Alligator mississippiensis: one gene and its partners. The protein of the gene in region 1 purifies or fractionates together with the protein of each later gene. This does not show direct contact. Links are inferred from orthologs where the notes say so. Each region holds a gene or a part of one and is shown in the gene's direction. Other genes may lie near its edges.

Region 1 (7,090 bases):
ATTCATTCTTGTGATGCTCTCTGCAACCCTCAAATGGAAGACATCTGAGTTCTGTTTTATTTTTACTATAGGACAAACCCTGATCTTTTGGCCTGTGTTTAAGTAGCACAAATCCTCAGGGATCAGTGGGCAACAAGTGGAGATTGGCATTAAAGTGCAGACTTCTTTGTTCACTGCTTGCTTATCAGTAAGTTCAGATCATATGTAGACTGGTTTAAATTAGTTGTTACTAATGAAAGGACTGCACACAGTAAGTATATCCATGACCTTGGGCCCAATCCTCTGTGCATGGCCATTTAGGTATAGTGAGTATGTACTTCCTCCAGGACTCTCATTGACTTCAGTGGGCTATATATTTTGCCCCATAGTAAGTGTTTGCAGTATTAGGCACAGAGGCTGCCTATTCACCACATGCTCAATGGGGAAGGGGGCGTTAATTAGAGCAGGTCCCAGAAAGCTGCTCTAATTAAAACACCTCATTGTCACATGTATTAAGCCCCTGCAAGTGTAAAAAAGGCCACAGGTCACTTTATCTAAACCTTGTTCGATGAGGTTTAGGTAAAGTGCCCGAGCAACAATTTTTAAACCTGCGGGGGCTTAATACACGTGATGGCGGGGCCACACTGGACCATTCTAATTCAAATGTGAACCAGTACATGCACCCTAAATTACAGTGTTTGCATAGAAGCAATAATGCTATTTTTAGTAGTCAGATGCCTCAGAAAAGCAGGTCACTTGCTACTTAAGAGTGCTTGCTTCCTAAACTGTGCTTTAAAAGCTTGGGTAGGCGTCTGTACACATTTACCTTGTCTTCTGCCAATCTATGTCCATTTCCATAAGAACATGGGAAACCATGAATCGGCCATCAGAAGCTGAGAGTCATTTTCATCTGCTGCCTGCCATTTCCCCACATGCAGGGTCAGAAAGGCTGCGGGTAGCCAGCAGGCAGCTGTCAGCTCATGGAGAGAAGCCTCCCCTGTACATTTCAGCTGCCGGCTGTCATCTGAGAGCTTTAAATGCCAGGTTTGCTAAAACAGTTCCAGACCTCAGACCCTTTCGGCACTGAAAGCCTGTAGTTCTTGGGATCAGGAAGCTCAGGTTATTTATGTTTCAGATTCAGACACGCTAGGAGGATTGCTAGTACTGTTAGGTGTCGCCAGCTGAAATTTGCTGTTCTATCAGTCTAGGTTTTGGGTTGGGAGAGACTAGGTGGAGAGTCTGGACACAGAAAGTGCTCTTAATGTCTGCATGAGCATAACTAACTTCAATTCTTGCCCTTGAGACAGAGCACTGTTTAATGTGCTGCATGAATGATTGATAAACATGCTTTGGTCTCCTTCACAGTTCATTGCACCAGTTAGATGATGATGATGCACATGTAAGTCACAGTTAGCTCTACCTTATATACTGACTAAACCCCACCCCCCAAAAGTCAGTCCCACTCAGTGCTAACAAAATGCATGTCCTGCATGTGAACTGACAGTATTTTTACCTTCCCTCTGCACCCCAACTAAGAAAGCTCAAGAAGGGTCTCCCCTGGATAGGAAGTAGCTTAGGATTCCTCCAAAGAACTCCTTACTCCTCGCTGTCTTTAATTGATCAGTGTATAAGCCAATCTCCGAAGGTTTGCCTTGCAATTCTAGCAATAAATGGCTTGGCTGTATATATGAGTAAATATGGTATTTCCCCGAACTTCCCAGAATGAGTCACTACCAGGAAGTGTTCAGCCAAGAACTCCAGATCCTGAATCTACCCAGTGTCTGTGTGTTGCATGCAGTGACTGTTCCAGCAAGCCAGCTGCAAAACCAAGCCTTTACCTCACTGCAGCTGCCTTTGTCATACACGTACCTTGTAAAATACCCGTGTGAGATGATTCTCAGAATAAGCCCAGCCTTCCCACAAAACGACACAGCTACAGCCCTGCTGCTCGCAGCTGTCAGACCAAGGGTTGTAATTGTGAAAAATGTGCATGTGGCAAAACAACACATTTGGGCCACGACCAGATGGCTTTAAACTTAAACTGATTAAAAGGCCCCATTTATAGCTGCACTGCTAGTGCCACATTAATTGGTAGGAATGCAGTCGCATCCAGGCCTGGCAAGACCCCACTGCCAGAACAGGTGGTCGCCTAGGGCAGCAAAATGTTTAGGAATCATGGGCACTGAGGGGCACATGTTTTCTAGTTTGCTGTGGGCACAGAAAGCCACAGCACTGATGCTAATGTGAGAGGGGAACAGTCAGCCAGTCACACTTTGTTCCAGTAAGCCAATAATACTGTTCTGCAATACCCCCGGGGAAGTGGAAGTCTCTCTCATTCATAGCACTGATGCAAGCAGCTCAAGAGAGCAACGTGTTCAGTCCAAGAGAAGGAGGAGGGAGTGACAGGAGTGTTTCAAGATGCTCTGCAGGAGCCTTTTCTGACAGTGGTATGATATAATAGGCTGCAGAAAGAGTCCTCACAAGCTAGTAAATGAGAGTTGGAATGGGCGCTTCTCAAAAGTGGAAGGAAAGAACTACAGCAGTTTCCGGGCTTTTTCTTCTGTCATGACCCGGCTTCCAGCTCACACCCTTATTTCCAGTCAGCTTGTGAGGTCAATTCTGGTCTGATCCCAACCCTCCAAATGAATATCTGCCAGGCCCCAGCCTTTAAGTGGCATGACCCTAGTGAGGTCTCAGCCTATACGCTGGGAACCACTGGACTACAATACTTTAGGGCAGTAGCTCAAAGTACTGTCAGTTTATTGGAATAAGTATTTTGGGTTATAGCTGTCAACTATCCCCATACTTTTGTAGCTTAGGTTAGAAACTTGGAAAGCAGCCGTGCTGAATGAGACTTATAGGTGACAGAGGGTAATAAAAGTAGGCATAGGTTTGCAACTGGACAGGTCTGTGAGACCCAGCTGAAATTAGAGGTGTTATCAAATGGCAGTAGGTAATGCTTACTAAAAGCACTGATGGTGCCTGTAAACTTTGCTTCATTTTAAAGTCTATGGGGAGCAAATACGCCAGACTATCAGGAAGCTGAGAGGTCATGGGCTCTTCCAGGTGTAACCAAATTCACATGCTGAAGTCCCAGTTAAACTCAGCATTCAGTGGCAGGCTCTTTACCAACATGTTGTTACAATGGGAGGGAGTTCAGAAAAGAGTAGTACAAACAATCACGCAGCTGGAGGAATTGACTTCTGAGGGATGATTTAAATAGCTACATCTGCATAGCTTGGCTAAGTAACAATTAAAGGGGAATGTGATGGCAGCTTGCAAAGATTCACAGGGTAAAACAGATCTGAGAAGTGACTTAATGTTGTACCCAGGAGCATAAGGATGGATGATAGGGTGAAATAAGAAAGGAAAGTGTAGGTTAAACATAAGGAAAGACTTTCTGATTATGAGATCCTCTGGACTTGGGAGCTGTGGCAGCTGCTTTTCCTAGGACACAGCTGGAGAGAGCATTACAGAATGTATTGTGGAAACCAATGCTGCCTTGGCAGAAAGACAACTGGGATGATTCAGTGTCTCTAAAAAAGTCTATCACAGTGTCGCCAGCTCCTATGATACTTGGTGTTTTACTCAAGTCCCAGCAGCTAGATGCATGTGAATGCATGAAACTGTCCGTTCTCATTTCATACCAAAAATAAGTTTCAAACTGTTAGCTTTGCAGGGGCAAGCACACGCAAACGTTGAGTGTGCCCTAAAGACAGAATACCAGAAAACAAAAACAAAACAAAAACATATTTAAAATCAAGGAATTGTTGAGTTAACCTTGGAAGTTTCTGGGTGGTCTCAATCCTGATATGCTAAGGGTGACAGTGTCTCTTTTAACAAAATAAAACAAAAATGAGAGATGCCTTTTCCAATCTTGCACAGTGTACTTAGAAATCAGACTGGATTTTCCCTACTCTTCCTTAGCTGTTTAGTTTAAAAGAAAGCAGCCCGGCTTCCTAGGGGAATGACATTTTGAGGGGAGTTTTTTTAACTTCAAACTGGCTTTCCTCTGTTACTGATTCACTCCCCCACAGGGAGATTTTCAGGCTGAGGCTTTCCACGTCTGCTTTGTAATTTGCATACATGGTTCACTTCCTGCTGCAGAGCCTGTTCTACTGCTTACCTGGGAGAGGGAGAGTGTCGTAAAAGAGGGAAAAGACAGCCAGGAGAAAAATAGAGAGAGGGAGAGGAGAAGAGTGTGGGGGAGACAGCCCTAGTGTCTCCCTCTCCTCCCTGGTCAATCCAGATCCAGCCCTTTCTGGCCCCGAGGTAAGCTCTTCTAGAGATACTGCTCCTCCCTCTCCCCTCCCTTGCTTGTTATTCACTACTGACCCACTTTGTGCCTCTTGTTTTTCTTTCTGGCTTCTAACTTCCTCCAGCTCTACCTATTTTTTCTCCCATAGCAACTGGACAAGTTTTAGCTATTTTGGTTACACTGTTATAGCTACTTTGCAGCTGGATAGCAGGATTATTTTGAGTAAATGCTGGGAACGGACAACACTCCAGCAAACAGTGCTTAGATGTGATCCTAGGTATTGTATGGCCACCTGAAAATCATGCAGCCGAGGCCTGAACCTGGCAGGGCGCTCCACAGGTGTATAGGCAGGAGGGCAGGTTACAAGGACCCCTTCACCTCTGCACTTTGTGCCCTGCCATACTTTGTGGTCAGCCAGAGATCCTGTCTCAGAAGAGAGGCATAGTAGCTCTGTGTCCCAGGAGCTTCCAGCAGCATTGTGGCCCAGCTGGGGAAGCATGATTTTATACAGCTTCCTTCGTAGGCCCACACTTACTGCACACAACCTCCTCCGTGATGAGGGGTTGTGTCTGATAATCTAGGAGTCACCCAGAGAGAAGGAATCATTATGGAAAATGATGAAGAAATAGTCTCCTAGGTAATACAGTCCTACTGGATGTTTAGGACAGAGAAATTGTAAGTGATCTGTTATTGTTAAAAAAAAATCCAACATGTAAAGAGTCCAAGAGGAGGAGGACAAGGAGGAGGGAGTGACAGGCCTCGCCTGTCTCATTAACTTCCTTTTCAGCAGACCCAGTTTTGTAACTCCTCACTATCTCCTGCTGACTAGTGAGAACTGACTCTATCCTACCAGCCACAGCTCTTAACATGCAGGAATCCAAGTACTGAAAAATCAAGCCCCTGCTTAGATTTAAGACTGGTCTATGCTTAAAATTTATATTAGCAGAGGTAAGTCAGTTAGGGGAATTATTATTTTTTTTTATTATTATTATTATTATTACCAACAGAGCTATGGTGATACAAGTCCCAGTGTAAACAGTTATACCCACAAAAATGCTTTTATTTGTATAACTTATTTCATGGAGGGAACCAGCATAGGCTTCCCTGGCAGAAGTACTTTTTCACTGTGATTCGTCAGGCTTATAGCAGAAGAATTTGCTGGCATATAGGTATACAGGACACAGGGGCCCAGATGGAAGGAAATGACAAAACACTTTCCTGTCTCCCTTTGCTCAAACAAAGCAATTGGGGCAGGGAGAGAAGTTGGCAAACCTGAGTTCTTCCTGTCATCCCTTTATGTTTGTCCAGCACATTGTTAAACATGCAGCCTAGCGGATATTATCCATAGCACTGCTTTATGCATTTGACTTTGGGAACGTATTTGGTTTCTGCAAACTGGTGTTCAAGGCAGTTGGTTGCAACCAATGACTACAGAGGGTATGTCTGAGAACACCGAACTGGCCACTCCTCACTGTCAGATTGTCATAACAGCTTAGAGCACAATAGTACAATGTCACAGCTGTGCCTTAGATAATACAAGCACTTGTGAGGGGCTCAGGCTTGGAAAGAACTTTTCTGTTTTTCTTTTTATCTACCCATGACGACTAGGTGCAGAGAGCGACTGAGAGTACTAGTACTGTGTTAAGGACACGTGGCAGTATCTGCCTAGTTGAGCTTGATCATGTGGCATCTTTAGGTACAGTTATAAAAAGGATTATATGATGTAATTGCTTGCCACAGCAAGGGACTGGATTCAGTGACCCAGGTTTTTCTGTGTTCTTATGGGAAGCTAGAAACCAGCTTTCACTATACAACTCTGTTTTAGTAGCCTTGTCGTTTTGGTGCAGAAAATTGATCTGGCCTAACTATTTAGTCTGGAGCCAAAAGAGACTGGATCCGCCAAGTGTGAAGATGATGCACCAAATACCCCTAAGTTACAAGTGCAATTGTGATTTCTTACTTGTACTTTGGTCTTCCTTTGTTTCAGAAGTGTCTTGTTGCTACCTCATCAGTAAAGCATAAGGACCAGGCAGAATTCCAGGCCCTAATACTCGGGAGAGCACAGGGACAGCTCCATGACTACTTCCTCAAGAGAGGCAGGGCAGCAACTTTAAGGGACAGAAGGCACGTCTATATGTGCAATTAGTGCACCTGAATTTTCTGCATATTATTGATCCCGATCCCCAGGTGGCAGGGAGACAGCTGTCCCTGCAACCAGCACAGCTTTCCCGGCCACATGGAGATTGGATAGGTCCCAATCCTCATGTGGCAGGGAGACAACTGTCCCTGGAGCTGGCACAGCTCCTCCCCGCATTGAGGCTTAGCCAGGCAGGTGCAGGCTCCTGGCTCTCTGGGCTGACCAAGAGCAAGTTGCTCCTGGTCAACGCCTATGTGTGTCCTATGGCACATTAGCTAATGCACCACTTATCTAGTACCTGTATATGTTGGTACTAGCAAACGGTGCATTGGACTAATACAATGCACAGTAAGTCCCATGTACGTGTAGATGGTGATGCTTTATTGCACATTAGGTTAGTCTAATGCACAGTAAAACTTTTTGTGTAGATGCTTCCAGAGACATAGAGTAAGGAGAGCCGTTGCCCCCCTTATTTTATCCAGGATTGTTGGGTAGTAATGTGAGCTCTTTCCTTAGTGGCTAGAGAGCACCAAGAGATTATGACTCAACACAGAATGCCTTTGCTTTTTAACTTGGTGCAGTACCTCAATACTGCATAGGCAAAGCCGAGGAGAGGGGCTGTCCAGTATACTGAGAAGACCTTCCATTTCAAAGCATCTCATAAAAGGCAATCTTTTGATAAGCCAAGAAAAAATTACATTAAAATCAATAGTTCA
Region 2 (7,545 bases), on another chromosome or scaffold:
AAAGTTTAATGTTGCCTGTGTGCTGTTGGAAGTCCTCTTTGCAGTCTCTCTAGCAGACCTCAGCCTGGTCAAGCTTGCACTGCTCAGCAAATAGTTCTCGGGGTAGCGGGGAGGCTTTGAATCATTAACACATCCCTCTCCCCTGGGAACAGCATTACAGTGTTGCCAGGCTGCAGCCTGGGACGCTTCCTGGATACTCCATTTAGGCTGTGCTGGCTCTGAATTCCTGTCCCTTTGTTTTCCCTCCCTCTATTGCCCCGCTCCATGATCTCTGACTTGGGATTAGTGGGAGCTTCACACAATTGTTCTGTGATGTGCTGGGGCGGGGCAGGGGGCAGCAGCTTTCCTTTCCCATTGGCTTGCCAGTTCCTGCCCCAGCTGAGCTCTTGCCTGGCCCGAATACCCCTGGAGCAGTTGGTTCCCTGAAGCGATGTGGAATGTTTAATCTTCTCTGTCTACAGGACACAGATGCAGGGAGCAGTTTTGTCTTTGTACACAGACACGTTCTGACTTGTTTGGTTGGGATCTGGATTTTAGAAACAAGAGCAATTAACTTCCAACGGTTAATCCAGAATCTGGGGAGGGCCACGCAGGGGAATCCCAGCCGACCAGGAGCTGAATCCTTTGCTGGACTGCAGCTGGGGGCTGGGCAGGCAGCAGCTGGTTTCTCTCCATGCCCGTTGTGTCACATTTGTGGGGGTTTTCACTGCACACTTAGCTGAATCCTTCTTTCGGTGATGCAGCTCATCAGCTATTTATTGTACTCTGTCTTGCCCTTTAGCTACCTGCTGCCCAGCACAGGCCGTTCCCTGGGGCTGAGGGAACAGGGAGTCTCTGAGCGTGGGGAGTCGAGCACAGGGAGCTTTTCTGAACCACCATGGGAACAAGACAATGACTGGATGAGAGGAAGGGCATCCGTGGCATAAATGCACATTGTCTGGGTCTGGTGCTTTGGCTAATTCCTCTTTTCCTTCTTTGTAATTACTTACTCATTAAATTTCTGTCCCCCCCCCTATCCAAGAGGTTCGGAGCCTCACTGTAAATGTGTGACCAACTCTGTCATTTACCCACATCCCTGCAGTACTGGTCACAGGGGAACTCTGGCATGTTGACAGCAGCCACCATGGAGAGACTAGTCTAGGCAAGCCCAGCTGTTCAGTCCCTTGTGAGAAAGTACATTTAATAATTAGACAAAGCAGGATTTTGAAGTAGAAATAACTGAGGCAGCCCCTGAACAGCAGAGCTGCCCCACAGAGCCAAGGGCAGGATTACAACATCACAGAAACGGAAGTGCCATTGCTGCCTTGCATGGGGTAGGGCAAAAGCAGCTTCAGTGAACCTCTTTGTCTTAGCAGTACCCTACAGTGATGGGCAGGGACCAGCCAGTGACCTCCATTGTGAGACACAGAGACCGGCTTTTGAGGTTCACTATGACCTGTGAGGACCAGCTGGCAATGAGTTACGGTTGTCGCGGTTTTGGGCAGCTCGTTTCCGAGCAGTCGCTGCCCATTTAGAGCTGACCTTTTCATGCTTCAAGAGAGTGGAGCTGGCCTGGGTTGCTTGGCATTTTCCTGAAGGCTGCAAGGAAAATGGTGAGGGCGTATTCCAAACATTGCATCCCAAGCTGAGCACAGGGTGTACCCGTGCGGCGCTAGGGGCCTAGCTGAGGGTCTGCTCTGGGTAGGAAGACAGTGCCTGTGGTTGGTATTGTGTTACGTGTTCTGACAAGCCATGTCCTGCGAGGAGCCCTGGCAGAAAGCAGATGCAGGTTTTGTGCCTGCATCTCAGGGAAGGTTTGGCTCCAGTGTTTCTCTGCAGCAGTAATCTTTGTTTTTTTGCTTGTTTAGCTTGCCTACATATCTCCTTTCTGATAAACTCCCTCTATGCCTCCCTCTGCACCTGTGTCTCCGCATATTTGCACGTTTCCCGTATGTTGCTCCGTGTGGAATGCATCTCCTCGGCCAGCGGGGCCTGCTGCCCAGCTCCATGTGCGTGAAGAGACCCCTCGTGTCATGCGTCCGTGCAGAGAGCCAGATTGCTCTTGCTGTGGGAACTGGCAGTTTGACTCTGGAGCAAAGGAGAAGTAATGATCCCATGGGGTCCTGGGCACCCAGTCAGTATGCACAGGTGCCCCACATCTCCTGTGCCAGGCCTGGAGGCTGTCTCTGTTACAGTGGAGCCCTTTGTGTTTTGGGGCGGGGAGGATGGTATCAGGTTGCAATTTAAAGATGCTTTGGATGGAGATCATGCCAGATCACTGTTTGTTAACAAGTATAAGCAAACATTGTGCTCCTTCTGGAGTTTACAGTCCAATGGACGTCAGAGGAAGTGCCACTGTACATGACATGTTCGCTTAGCACATAGATGGGACCCTCCCTCCAAAAACGATCCTCTGTGACTCTCACCCCCAGGAAAGTACTCTTTTCTCCCATACCTTGCCCAGCTGCAGTTACAGTTCCTCCTACGTGCTGCCAACTAGGTGCCTGGCACTTGTTGGCACCTGGAAAAGCAGTGATGCTAGCTGGATTCACTCTTTCCTGTGACGGGGAGAAACTGGACTCCTCCACTGAGCAAAGGTCCTGTTTTCTTCACTGGCTGTAAGCAGGGGCCCTGCCTCTTTATAGGCTGCTAGCTATAAGCCTCCTGGATCTCCCTCCCTCCTGATTTCCTTTCCCTTGGGCAGACTGAGGAGTATAATTTCCATGCACTCTGCAGTTTGCGCCAGCCACCACTTGCTCTCCACCCTCCTCTCAAACCCCTCGCTGGCCCTATCTCCTCTGAGAAAAGAAGCAACTTCTCACAGAAGTGCTTCAGGCCTCTTCTTGCTACCACCTTCCAGCAGTATCCCTCTCTGTCCAACATGAAATGTGGCTCTTTCCTTTCTCAAAGTGAACCCTGAGTCCTCTCTGACATTCCTTTTCCACCTGACCCTTCTTAGCCCTTGATTTCACATCCTATGGCAGGTCATCTCCTGTGTATAATCTCTGACCATAGAAGAAATGGGTCAAGAGGGGCCTGCCCTGCTTGGTGTACTGGTGTACTTGGAGCGCTTGTGAGCATCCTTTGTCCCAGAGCACTGAAGATGCTCAGCTGGTGGGCGCCGGCATCTGTGGATGTCATTAGTCCCTGAGCTCCCATGCGAGTACAGCAGCCACTTCCCCTTGTTGACCAGCCTCCTTGAACTTGAGGCTACCCTCTGCTCCGAGGTTCGGATCCTACCACCGCAGAGATGCTGCTTTCTTGGCAGTCATGCCTGGACATGTTACCAATATGACCCCAGTAATTGGCAGCTGGTGCCATCTGTGCTGGACCCCCCTCCAGACCAGTAGTTGGTAGTAGTAGAAACTTCTTTTGGAAACGTTTGACAATAGCTAATCCTTCCAGTAACCCAGTGATGTAAGTCAGCATTGCCTATGCTACCCATTACTATACCCGAACCTTTCCTAATTTCATAATCAGCCACCCCCTTTTGCATTCCTCTGGGTCCTCAAATGAATGGACACATCACATCCGATTTGCTCATCAAGGGGGAATTCCTCAGCTGGCATGACTGAGGTGCTATGCAGGTGTGGCAGACCCTGGCCCTAGCTATCTGCCTGGCTTCAGGTGGAGCTCACCTGGCCAGAAGACAGTGGAGGGGCACTGGCCTTCACAGGAGCGGGAGCTTAGCCTCCGCTGGTGGCCCAAGTGAGGTGGGCTCTTTGTCCCTGTGAAAGCTCATTTGAGAAGCTCTAAGTGCCTCCACTCTCCACTTCCCCTTTTTCTTGCTGCAGGGTGTGAACAAGACAAACAAGTGACGGAGCTAGCTGGAGGAAAAGAAACTGTGACTCAGGGCTGCGGCTCCCAGGCCTCCTAGGTCACCCCTGTGGAATGAGGCCCCGGATGGCCCCCAGGTAACCAGTCTCCGGGGCTAGGTTCAGTGAGAAGTGGCAGGGATGGGTGGCGGGAGGGGGAAGCGGGGGTAGACGAAGTCCAGGAGCAGGTGCTGGGTGGCTGCCGGGCAGGACCTGCCGCCCTCTGAGCGCCAGCGAGACCCAGGCCCTGTGCTGTAGCCCTGGGGGTTGGAAGGATGCCCAGGCAGGGCAGGCCTGCAGGAGCATAACGCTGCCCGTGGCCTGCCCTGTCCGGCTCCTGCTGTGCCGCAGGCAGCTCATGTCACTAGCTGCCTGGGGCCAGCGGGCTCCTGGGGCGAGCTGGCACCACACCCTGTGCCACGCTGCATCCTGCATGCCACCGCATCCTGCCTTGGCACCCCACCCTGCATGGCACCCCACCCAGTGGGCTGTGTGGCTCCGGGGTCCCTGGGTGCAGCAGGGCCTGCGCTGTCGTCAACCCACCGCCCCTGCCCTGCCCTGCCCGCAGCTGCTTCCCCCGGACCAGCGCCGCTCCCTGCAGGACACGTGGGCGCAGCGCGACCTCCGGCCCGCAGGGGGCGCTCGAGAGCCGAGCGCGCCTTCCTTCCCCGCGCTACGGCGCCTGCGTGGCCGGGCCCCGCCGTGACGTCAGAGCCAGGCACAGTGCGGAAGCGGCGCGCGAAGCGAATCCGACCCCGCAGACCGCGGCCCCCCCCCCCCTCCTGCCCGTCCCGCCCACGCGTGTCCGCGGCGCGAGTGCGGCCCCCGCTGAGCCGGCCTGGCTGGGCCGCCCTGTCCCGGCAGCGGCAGCATGAGCCGGCCGCCATCGCTGCAGACGCAGACGTGCGGCTCGTGGGAGATGAAGGAGCGGCTGGGCACGGGCGGCTTCGGCAACGTCATCCGCTGGCAGAACAAGGTGCGCCAACCCTCAGGACCTGGGTATCCCCCCCGGGGGCTCCCAGCATCACAAATGTCAGCGCGTTCATTAAACACGGGGTCCGATTCGCGTGGTAGTCCAGGAGCGTCCTAAAAAGTAGCGGCTGCGTGCGATTGCCTTCCTGGCATAAAGTCGGCGCGCCGCGACCTGTAACCGATGCGCGCAAGCGTCGTGTCGCGGGCACGCTGGAAACCTCCCACGATAGATTGGAGAGTTGGTAACCTTCGCCGCGCGGCGCCGGGCCCGTGCGAGCGCCGCTTGCCGAGCCGTGTCGCTCGAATGGCCCGGGCGGGCTCGGCGGCTGGCCCTGGCACGGCCGTGGCGCTCACCCGTTGTTGTTGCGCGCGTTTGCTTTGTGCCGCCCAGGACACGGGGGAGCAGATCGCCATCAAGCAATGCCGCCAGGAGCTGAGCCCGCGCAACCGGGAGCGGTGGTGCCTGGAGATACAGATCATGAAAAGGTCAGGGTCCTTGTCCCAGGGTGCACCTGCCTCCGCTGTGCAGCTGCTATTGCTCAGGCGTTTGCACGTGCACCCTGTCTAGGAGCAACCTGTGGTGAGTCGGTTCCTGCCATCACACACTTCTACCCTCTTGTCCTCCCCTAGGCTGAATCACGCCAACGTGGTTGCTGCCCGTGAGGTCCCCAAGGGGATGCAAAATCTGGCACTGAATGACCTTCCGCCTCTGGCCATGGAGTACTGCCAGGGGGGAGACCTCCGCAAGGTGGGGCCCCTGGCTGGATGGGCGGGATAGCCATCGAGCACTGCAGAAATGAAAGGCTTCCCTTGAGTTTTCATGCACTGTTGCCATCATGTCTTCCTGCACTCACCAGGACTGTGCCTGCTGCCACCTCCCCTGCCCTTGGCAGGCTTGGTCCTGCACGAGTTCTCATCCCCTTCCTTGGTCTGTAAACACTTCCCATTTCTACTGGGTAGGCAGTGTGGGTCAGCCTGCGGGGTGCCCACACGGGCGTGTGCAAGAGACAGACAACAGGATGTGAGCAGGGCCTAGAACGTCATGGAGCAGGTTGTGCCAGTGGGTGGGGTCCTGTGGGGAACTGATAAACCCCTCTCGGTCACAGGGCGGAAAAACACATAGGGCTGGATCAATCTTTTTTTTAATTTTTTTTTTTAATCTTTGTGAGCAGCCCCAGCACAGATTTTGCTCAGAGGATAGGGCCATGATTAGGGGACCTTGTCCTGAGCTGGTTGGGCCAAGTGTGTTCAGATATGGGGATGGGCCCTGGAGGGGTTGCTGGCTGGAGGAGCTGGCAGAGAAGGGAAAGGGTAGGTCTGGAGCACGTCTGAGTTGATCATTCTGCAAAGGTCCCGACCCTACAGAAGCTCCTGCTTGCAAGTAGCATGTGTAGGCTGGGTGCGGCAGATTTGTGATATGTTGCCTTGCTCCCTCCAGTACCTGAACCAGCTGGAGAACTGCTGCGGCCTGCGGGAGGAAGCCATCCTGACGCTGCTCTCAGACATTGGTAAGGGGCCACGTGGCCTGTGACAATCCCTGTGTGGGAAGGCAGGCATTTCTGTCCTGCTAGCCCTCTCCACCTGAGGGAAGTAGAGCTGTGACCCTGGATGTTCCCATTCATAGATGTTAGGGTCGGAAGGGACCTCAATAGATCATCGACTCCGACCCCTGGCATAGGCAGGAAAGAGTGCTGGGTTCAGATGACCCCAGGCAGATGCCTATCTAACCTCCTCTTGAAGACCCCCAGGGTAGGGGAGAGCACCACCTCCCTTGGGAGCCTGTTCCAGATTTTGGCCACTCGAACTGTGAAGAAGTTCCTCCTAATGTCCAGTCTAAATCTGCTCTCTGCTAGCTTGTGGCCATTATTTCTTGTAACCCCCCCAGGGGCATCTTGGTGAGCAGAGCCTCACTGATGCCCTTCTGTGCCCCCAGGATGAATGGATGGGCAGCCACAGGTCGCCTCTCAACCTTGTCTTGTGGAGCCTGAAGAGGTCCAGGTGTCCCAGTCTCTCTTCATAGGGCTTGTCCTGCAAGCCCTTAACCATATGAGTGGCCCTTCTCTGGACCCTCTCCAGGTGATCCACATCCCTCTCGAAGCGCGGCGCCCAAACCTGGACGCGGTACTCCGACTGTGGTCTAACCAGTGCCCGATAGAGGGGAAGTATCACCTCCTTGGTTCTGTTTGTCATGCATCTGCTGATGCACGATAAAGTGCAGTTAGCTTTGCTGATGACTTCGTCACACTGACGACTCACGTTCATCTTGGAGTCCGCTAGGACTCTGAGATCCCTTTCTGCTTCTTCCGTGCTACCGAGCAGGTCATTTCCTAGGCAGTAGGTGTGCTGGACATTTTTCCTTTCTAGGTGCAGCATTTTGCATTTCTCCTTGTTAAATTGCATTTTGTTGTTTTCTGCCCATTTGTCCAACCTGTCCAGGTCTGCTTGTAGTTGTTCCCTGCCCTCCGGTGTGTCCGCTTCTCCCCACAGTTTTGTGACATCCGCAGACTTGGACAGAGTACACTTCACTCCCTTGTCCAAGTTGCTGATGAAGACATTGAAGAGTATCGGTCCAAGGACCGAGCCCTGTGGGACCCCACTGCCCACGTCCTTCCAGGTCGATACCGACCCGTCCACCGCTGCTCTCTGGGTACAACCCTCTAGCCAGTTTGCCACCCACCGGACTGTGTAATCATCCAAGTCACAGCCTCTTAATTTGTTCACCAGTATGGGGGGAGATACCTTATCGAAGGCCTTCCTGAAGTCTTAAGTAGACAATGTG
Region 3 (7,185 bases), on another chromosome or scaffold:
GCGGGACAAGACCCCCGCGCCCCGCCGCCCCTCACACCAGCCCGCCCCCCCGCCCGCCGCCGGCGGCACCACGGCCCCGCCCCGCCCCGCCCCGGGGACGGGCTCCGGCGGCCCCGCGCGGGGACCAGCGCCCCTGCAGGCTCCGGCGGCGGCCGCCACGTCCGGCTCCTCGCCCCCCGCCGCCGCCGCCGCGCGGAGGAGACGGGCCGGGCCGCTGCCCACCGGGGCCCGCTCCGCGCAGCGCGGACGAGCAGGGAGTGCCCCCCCCGCGAGACGTCCCGACACGACCCCCACGACGCGGCCGCACAGCGCACACCCCGCGGCCCGGACACCCTGTCACGGGAGCCCCGCGGCGGGCGGGCGGGCGCGGCCCGGCCCGGCAGAGGCGGCGGGAGGCCGAGAAAGGGCAACACTGCGCGGACGCGGTTCTTTGTCAGGCTTTTATTGGCGAAGGACTCGCGGGGCCCGCGCCCCCCCGGCCCCGCCCCGCCCCGCCCCGCCGCGGCCGCACTTACCGCCGGGCCCGGAGCCGCCGCCGCCGCGAGGACAAAGGCGCCAACCGCCCCCACAGCCGCTGCCGGAAAGCGAGACGGGACGGGGCAGGGGGCGGGGCCGCGACAGTGCCGCGCTTTACGGCACGGCCCGGTCACGTGGCCCGCCCGCCATGACGCACGCCGGGCGGCCGCGACAAAATGGCAGGCGCGCTCCGGCTCCCGGCGGCCCGTGCGGCAGCGGCCCCGCCCCGGGGCATGCTGGGGCATGTAGTCCCCAGGGGCTGCTGCGGGCCGCTCCCAAGCACCCCCTTTCCCCCACCGGGCCACGGCCACGGCCCGCCACTGTCCCGCGAGCTGCACCCCCGCGCCACGCCTGCGCTGCCTCCCCGCCTGGGAGGCTAGTCTGTAGCCTCCCCACGCGAAGGAGAGCGGCCCGTGGCGTGGAGGGCTGGGCCCGCGACTCCGAAGGTGGACAGACAGAGCACCCCTGCCAGCCTGGTAACCCGGGCCTGGGCCACGGCCACCCCGCCACGAGTGCCCCCGCCAGCCTTTGTGTCCTTGCTCCTAGTCCTGCCCCCTGCGGCCCCAGAGAAGAGCCGTCTCCATCCTGTCACAGCCCTTCAGGGCCTGGAAAACTGATCAAATCCCTGCTCCAGATTCAGCCCCAGCTCCTTGCCACTCCTGCCTCCGCCATGTTCTTGCTCTGCACTGGACTGTCCGTGGCAGACGTCCCCGTGGGGGGCAGCTGTGCCCTCTCCACCCCGCGGCAGGGCAACAGCGGCCGCGGGCACAGCACGGGGGAGTTCCCCTCCCTGCTCTGTGGCTCGCGTGGGCCCTGCCTGCAAACGCCCAAGTTCACGTCCGTGGCGGCTGCGCCCCGCGATGGCCACTGGGTGGCACCACGAGACCCCGCTCCCAGCCGCGCGGCTCCGGTGCGGGGGGCGCAGGCGAGACAACTCTCGGGCTCCCGGGGCTGGGCGCAGGCACTGCGCGGCTGCACTTTGCACAGCGCCTCCCGCATCCCCTGACTCCGGGAGCCGAGGCTTTTGCCGCTGGCCACGTGGTGCCAGCGACAGCCAAGGGGCCCGCTGCGTCGGTGCCCTGGCACGGACGGCCCTGATGCCAGCCCCGGCACTGCTCTGCCAGGAAGGGGCTGGAGCGGGCGGTTACGTCGACGCAGCGGGGGGCTGCTGGTGCTGGCGGGCTGGAAACAGCCCCCACAAGGGCCCTCGGGCGCCGGGCGGCCGTGGGAGCCGAGGGCCGGCCGGCCGGCAGAGGCTGCCTGGGCAGCCGAGCCGCAGGGCGGTGCGGGATTTCCCAGGCCCTGGTGCGAGCCCAGGCCCGGAAAGCCCCTCCCTCCCGCTCTGGTCTGGAGACACCCCTGGGACCTCTGCTTGGCACTTGAGACGCTGTTCTGGGAAGTGACGCGGCCCGCAGCCGGCAGAGCCTCCCTTCCCCTCCTGCCTCGCTCCAGCTGCGCCTGGCAGGGGCTGGGGCCAGGCACCACGGCGGGGGAGGGCACCACGCCGCCCTGCCACAGGCCCCGGCAGAGGGACGGCGCCGAGGGGAGCGCGGCTCACCCTCACACAGCCACCGGGCCGCGGGGCCAGGGACACGGGCACTGCTGGGCACTGCCCCGCGGGCGCACTGCAGCCACGTGAAAGGCATGGGGCCATTGCGCTGATGCCCCGGGCAGGGACAGCCCCGTCGCATCCTGTCTGCTGGCCGCATGGGTGTCTGTGGGCAGTCTGTGGCCGGAGGAGGGAGGGGGTGGGTGGCGAGGCTGCTGCCCTCCTGCTGGGCCTGCCGTCCGCGCGTGGGTGGCTGGGCAGAGTGCAGCTGGGGACCGACCCTCGCCCCCCAAGCACGGATGCGGGGCAAGAGCGGAGCGGAAAGGGTCCCCCCAGCCTGACAGGCCCTGGCACCGCGTAGGGTCCCACGGGCAGGCAGGCGCAGCACTTTGCCCCTTCCTGCCTGGCGTTTGCACTCTCAGGAGAAGCTGGAAAGTTGCAGAGGGAAGTAGGAGCGGGTTGGGAAAGCCTCCTCGTCAGCGGTGCGTGGAACTCCCCCGGGGCTGCCCGGTCCCCGGCCCCGGGGAATCCTCTGCTCCAGGCCCTGTGGACGCCCCGTCCTGGCTCTCTGTGCCCAGGGTCCTGGAGGCAGGAACAGCCCTGCGGGGGCTCTTGATGACGCAGCCCCTTTGACGGCCTGAGAATGCCCAGCCCCTGGTCCCAGCGTCACCCATGTCGCAGCAGTCCCCAGACAGAAGCTGAACTGAAACCCAGCACTTCTGCTTCCAGGATGACTGGCTAGAAAAGCCCGAGAACTGCCCCCACCATCCCCAGTGGCAGCTCTGGCCAACCTCCACTGGCAGCAAGGGGTGTCCAGAGGAGGCCACCCGCACGATCCGGGGGCAGCAGGGCAGGCCCTACGAGGAGAGGTGACGGGACCTGAACCTGTTCAGCCTCCACAAGAGAAGGCTGAGGGGGGACCTGGTGACTGTCTATGAACTCACTAGGGGGGACCAGAAGGGTTTGGGGGAGACCCTGTTTCTCCGAGCGCCCCCCAGGATAACAAGGAGTAACGGCCACAAGTCGTGGGAGAGTAGGTTCAGATTAGACATCTGTAGGAACTACTTCAGTCAGGGCGGCTAGGATCTGGAACCGACTTCCACGGGAAGTGGTGTTGGCTCCTACCTGGGGGTCTTTAAGAAGCGGCTCGATGCCTACCTGCCTGGGGTCACTTGAGCCCGGTTTCTCTCCTGCCCAGGCAGGGGTCGGACCTGAAGATCTACAAGGTCCCGCCCGACCCGACTTCTATGAGTCTATGATGCTATGACACCTCAGGGCTGCTCGTGCCCCCGTGCGGACCCCTGCTTGCTATGCGAGGGCGCCCGCCTGCCACCAGATCGGGCAGACACGGCCGGACACGGGCATGTGGGGCTGCCAGGAGCCCAGGGGAGCCACAGGCTCTGGTGAGGGCAGGGGATCATCCCCGGGCTCTGGACAGCTCTAGGGGCAAAATGGGGGGCAGAAGGATCTGTGGGACAGTGCCACGAGGCCCTGCTCACATGGGCAAGCACGTCGTGGCCTTGCCACGCCCCGGCTTGCAGCCAGGCCAGTGCCTGCCCCTCCGGGGCGCCTGTTCCTGAACCGCCCTGCCCTGGCAAGGAGAAACTCCCATGCTGAGCACGCGCCGGCACCCAGCTCAGGACACAGCGCAGGCCAAGCCGGCCCCGCGGAGCGCGGGACCGCTGGGGCCGGGCAGCTGCCTGCAGGGCAGGCGGGAGGAGGAGGCCACGGGGGCCACAGCAGCTATAGGAGGCCATGCCCCGTGGCTCCCGGCCAGGCCTGCCTGGCACACGGAGCTGTCCTGCCGGACTTCCCTGTGCCAGGAGACCGGGGAGACAGGAGGAGCAGGCCTGTGTCCACGAGCCCCGCAGCCGGGCGCTCGGCACAGCAGAGCACGCACTGGGGTGGCAGCACCCAACGCAGCCCGACGTGCCTGGGCTGCACCCGGGACCGGCTCAGGGATGCTGCGGCGCGTCCCCCCGCATGGGTGCTGCGGCTGCCAGCCTGCCGAGGCCTGTTCTCACCCCACCTCGCTGGCCGGGGGCCAAGGGAAATCCTGGCTGGGCTGCGTGGCCCAGCCCTGGCTGAAGCAGACGGGGAGTTTTTCTGCGGGGGCTGGGCCCCCCCTGCCCTGCCCTGCCCTGCAGCGCGGATTGGATCTGGACAGCCCCAGCCCTTTCCTGGGCGGCCACGGGACTGCAAGTACAAGAGGTAGCCGCCCCGCCGGCGCAGGAGTGTCCCTCGCAGCATGGAGCCCTGCTGTCTGCTCGGCCTCCTCTGGCTACTCTGCCGAGGCCTCTTGGGCGTGAGTTTCACTTTCTCTTCCCTCCCCAGGTGCGACCCACGAGCCAGACCCGGCTGCCAGGCTGCTGCCGGGCTCCACGCACCCCCCGGCCGCCGGTGCAGGGGCTGGAGCGGGCCAGGGAGGCCTTCGAGCCGCTTGGCAGCCTCTGCTAGGACCCCCAGCTCAGCCCTGGCCCATCGGGGCGCAGCGGGGAGGGGGGACCTTGGCGCCTGCCTGGGCAGGGGTGTTGGCGCAGAGGCCGCGGCGAATGGGCGGGGGGAGAGCCGGCGCTGGCTGGGCACTGCCTGGTGTTCGGCTGGACCGGGGAGCCCCGTTCCCAGGGGCCGTGCCTCGGGGACAGCCGTACCTCGATGCCTGTGGGGCAGAGACGGGCTCAGGGCATGCGGGGCAGCTGGGCAGGCCCCCAGGATCCCTTTGCAACCTGGAGGCCCATGGGTGCCAGTGAGGCGTTGGGGGGCCGTGGCCATCCCAGGTCCTCTGCCCTGCACCGGCGAGGGCACCGATTTGTCTCATTCAATTCCCGTGGGCCAGGGAAGGCGCCTGGCCCAGCTTTGGCGACACGGGGGCCCCTGCCTGGGCAGCGGAGCGTGCCGGTGCCGGTGCCGGTGCCCTGCTCGGAGCTTGGGAATCCCTCGATTTCCCAGCACGGCCAGACCCCAGCACGGCTGCCTCTCGCTCCCAGGCCGAAGCAGGCTGCAGGGGACAGGGCTCAGCCGTGCTGCCGCAGAGCCTGGCTGGGCACGGGCACGGGCACGGGCACGGGCTGCGTGCGGGGCAGGAGCGTGGAGAAGGGGCAGGCTGCGGGGGCTGAAGGGACACGGGCTGGGGTGGAGGGGTGGAAGCAGACAGGGCTGCGCGTAGGCGGCGGGGGATCCCAGGCAAGCGGAGGCGTCTCTCGGTTCCCCTTTCGGAGGCATTGACCGTGACCCAGGGTCCCATCCTGCCCGGGGCCCCATCAGGCAGTTCCCTCCCTGAGGGCAGAGCCCCAGCCCCACAGAACCGCCCATGGACCCCGGCTAGGGCACACGCCGCCCCGGACCCTGGTGCCTGGCAGGGCTGAGCCCCAGGGCAGGGGCAGCTGCAGGGGCATCTGCTGCACCGCCGGCCCAGGAGGGTTGTTTGCTTGCCGACAACCCCTGCTGTACTGCTGGGGGAGCCTGGCCCAGCTTCACCCCAGGGAAGGGGCACCCCAGGTCCGCCTGCCAGGCGGGGGCCCAGCACTGCCGCCAGGGGAGGAGGCTGAGCCCTGAGCCACCACCTGGGCTCCCAGCCCTGCCCCTGCCCTGGCTGCCTGCTCAGGCGGGGCAGACACGCGTGGGCCCTGCCTTCGCCAGCTGCTAGGAGATGTGGTCAGGGCACTGACATGTGCCCGCCGCAGCAGAACCGCTGGCATCCCACTTCAGGGAGGCGCGGGCGGCGCGGGGGCGGCAGAGCTCCGGTCCCAGTGGTTGTGGTTATGTGGGCAGGGTGAGAGCGAGCGCAGGGTGCACGGCCCGTGCCAGGCGGCACCGTCCAGGGGAGGGGAGCCAGGTCTGGGGCAGGTGGGAGCCAGGCCTGCGGTGGCTGAGCTCTGTGCTCTGCTCGGTTCCAGCACTCGGCCGCTGGGACGGACATCCGATGCAGTGAGAGGCAGTACGTGCACGAGGGCAGGTGCTGCAACCGCTGCGCCCCAGGTACAGAGCAGATCCCTTCCCTGCCCCTCCCTGCGCCAGAGCCTCGGCCCAGAGGGGACCAGCTCGGCTACCTTGGCCCCAGGGCCAGGACCTGGGCTCGGTGCTGCCTGCAGAGCTGGCCGGTCTCGCCCCCTGTGCCCAGTGGCACCTCCTTGGGTGCTGGGGGCACGGCAGGTGCTGGGCTCCATGGGCAGCTGCACCAGGCAGGAAGCAAACGCGGGTGCTGTGTGTTGCAGGAGAGAAGGTGACGGCTGCATGCAGCGAGGCGTTGGAATGGTCCACCTGTGCCCCCTGCGAGGTGGGGTCCTTCCAGGCCCACTGGACCAAGGAGAATCACTGCATGCCCCACAGATACTGCGACCCCAGTAGGTGCCGGCACAGGGCTGTCTGCCAGGCAGGCAGCAGTCACGCAGCCCTGCCCATGCTCCAGCAGCCCCTGCCACAGGAGGGGCCTGGCCATGGCTGGCTCCGTGGCCCACCTTTCCCTCCCTCCCTTCCTTTGGCAGATGTTGGCCTGGTGGTAAAGACGCCGGGGAGTGAGAAACAGGATGTCACATGTGGCTGCCAGGTGGGCATGCACTGCACCAGCGCCCAGTGCCAGACCTGCAAGCTGAACCCCCGCTGCAAGCCAGGCTTCGGGGTTGTGCCAAGAGGTGAGTGCGGCCTGGCACTTGCAACCCGAGAGGTCACAGGGCCATGCTGCCCTGCACAACCCTGGCTCCCCACCGCCAGGTCACAGCAGCCCCAGCAGGGGCAGGCGAACAGGCCATCGGCTCCGAAGCACAGAGCGGGTGCAGGGACCTCCCAGGGGGTGCAGCCGGCCCTGCTCAGGCAGGCATGCATGCTGCACCTGCTCTGGGGGAGCCTGGCAGACAGGTTGGGGTGTCCTCGTTCGTGCCCCACACCTTCTCCTGCCCCCCCGCCTGCCTGACGCTCACCCCTGCGGTCGTCTCGGCTCTGTTCCAGCCCAGGAGGATGCGCCCCCCACGTGCCAGCCCTGCCCGGACGGCAGCTTCTCCAATGTCACCTCTGACAGCAAGCCATGCCAGCCCTGGAGCAGGTACTGCAGGGTGGGGGTGCGGCGCTGGGAGGTCAGCCAGGGAGGGGAGCGGTGGCTGTGAGTGAGGGAGCCCGGAGACACT

Evidence for each region.
Region 2: the proteins of TRAF3IP2 (region 1) and IKBKB purify together in Homo sapiens (affinity purification with western blotting; 3 studies listed by BioGRID, with this or other methods). This does not show direct contact. The link is inferred for Alligator mississippiensis from reciprocal best matches to the Homo sapiens genes TRAF3IP2 and IKBKB.
Region 3: the proteins of TRAF3IP2 (region 1) and CD40 purify together in Homo sapiens (affinity purification with western blotting, with the first as the bait; 3 studies listed by BioGRID). This does not show direct contact. The link is inferred for Alligator mississippiensis from reciprocal best matches to the Homo sapiens genes TRAF3IP2 and CD40.

What each region holds. Positions count from the first base shown.
Region 1 is NC_081824.1:97,061,379-97,068,468, reverse strand, and holds the start of TRAF3IP2 (E3 ubiquitin ligase TRAF3IP2), read left to right. Parts: upstream 1-4,060; 5' UTR 4,061-4,251; intron 4,252-7,090. UniProt on the Homo sapiens protein: E3 ubiquitin ligase that catalyzes 'Lys-63'-linked polyubiquitination of target protein, enhancing protein-protein interaction and cell signaling. Transfers ubiquitin from E2 ubiquitin-conjugating enzyme UBE2V1-UBE2N to substrate protein.
Region 2 is NC_081830.1:17,229,659-17,237,203, reverse strand, and holds the start of IKBKB (inhibitor of nuclear factor kappa-B kinase subunit beta), read left to right. Parts: upstream 1-4,505; 5' UTR 4,506-4,665; coding exon 4,666-4,770; intron 4,771-5,157; coding exon 5,158-5,252; intron 5,253-5,396; coding exon 5,397-5,514; intron 5,515-6,204; coding exon 6,205-6,274; intron 6,275-7,545.
Region 3 is NC_081832.1:490,691-497,875, reverse strand, and holds the start of CD40 (tumor necrosis factor receptor superfamily member 5), read left to right. Parts: upstream 1-4,118; 5' UTR 4,119-4,313; coding exon 4,314-4,370; intron 4,371-5,961; coding exon 5,962-6,043; intron 6,044-6,279; coding exon 6,280-6,408; intron 6,409-6,549; coding exon 6,550-6,696; intron 6,697-7,009; coding exon 7,010-7,103; intron 7,104-7,185.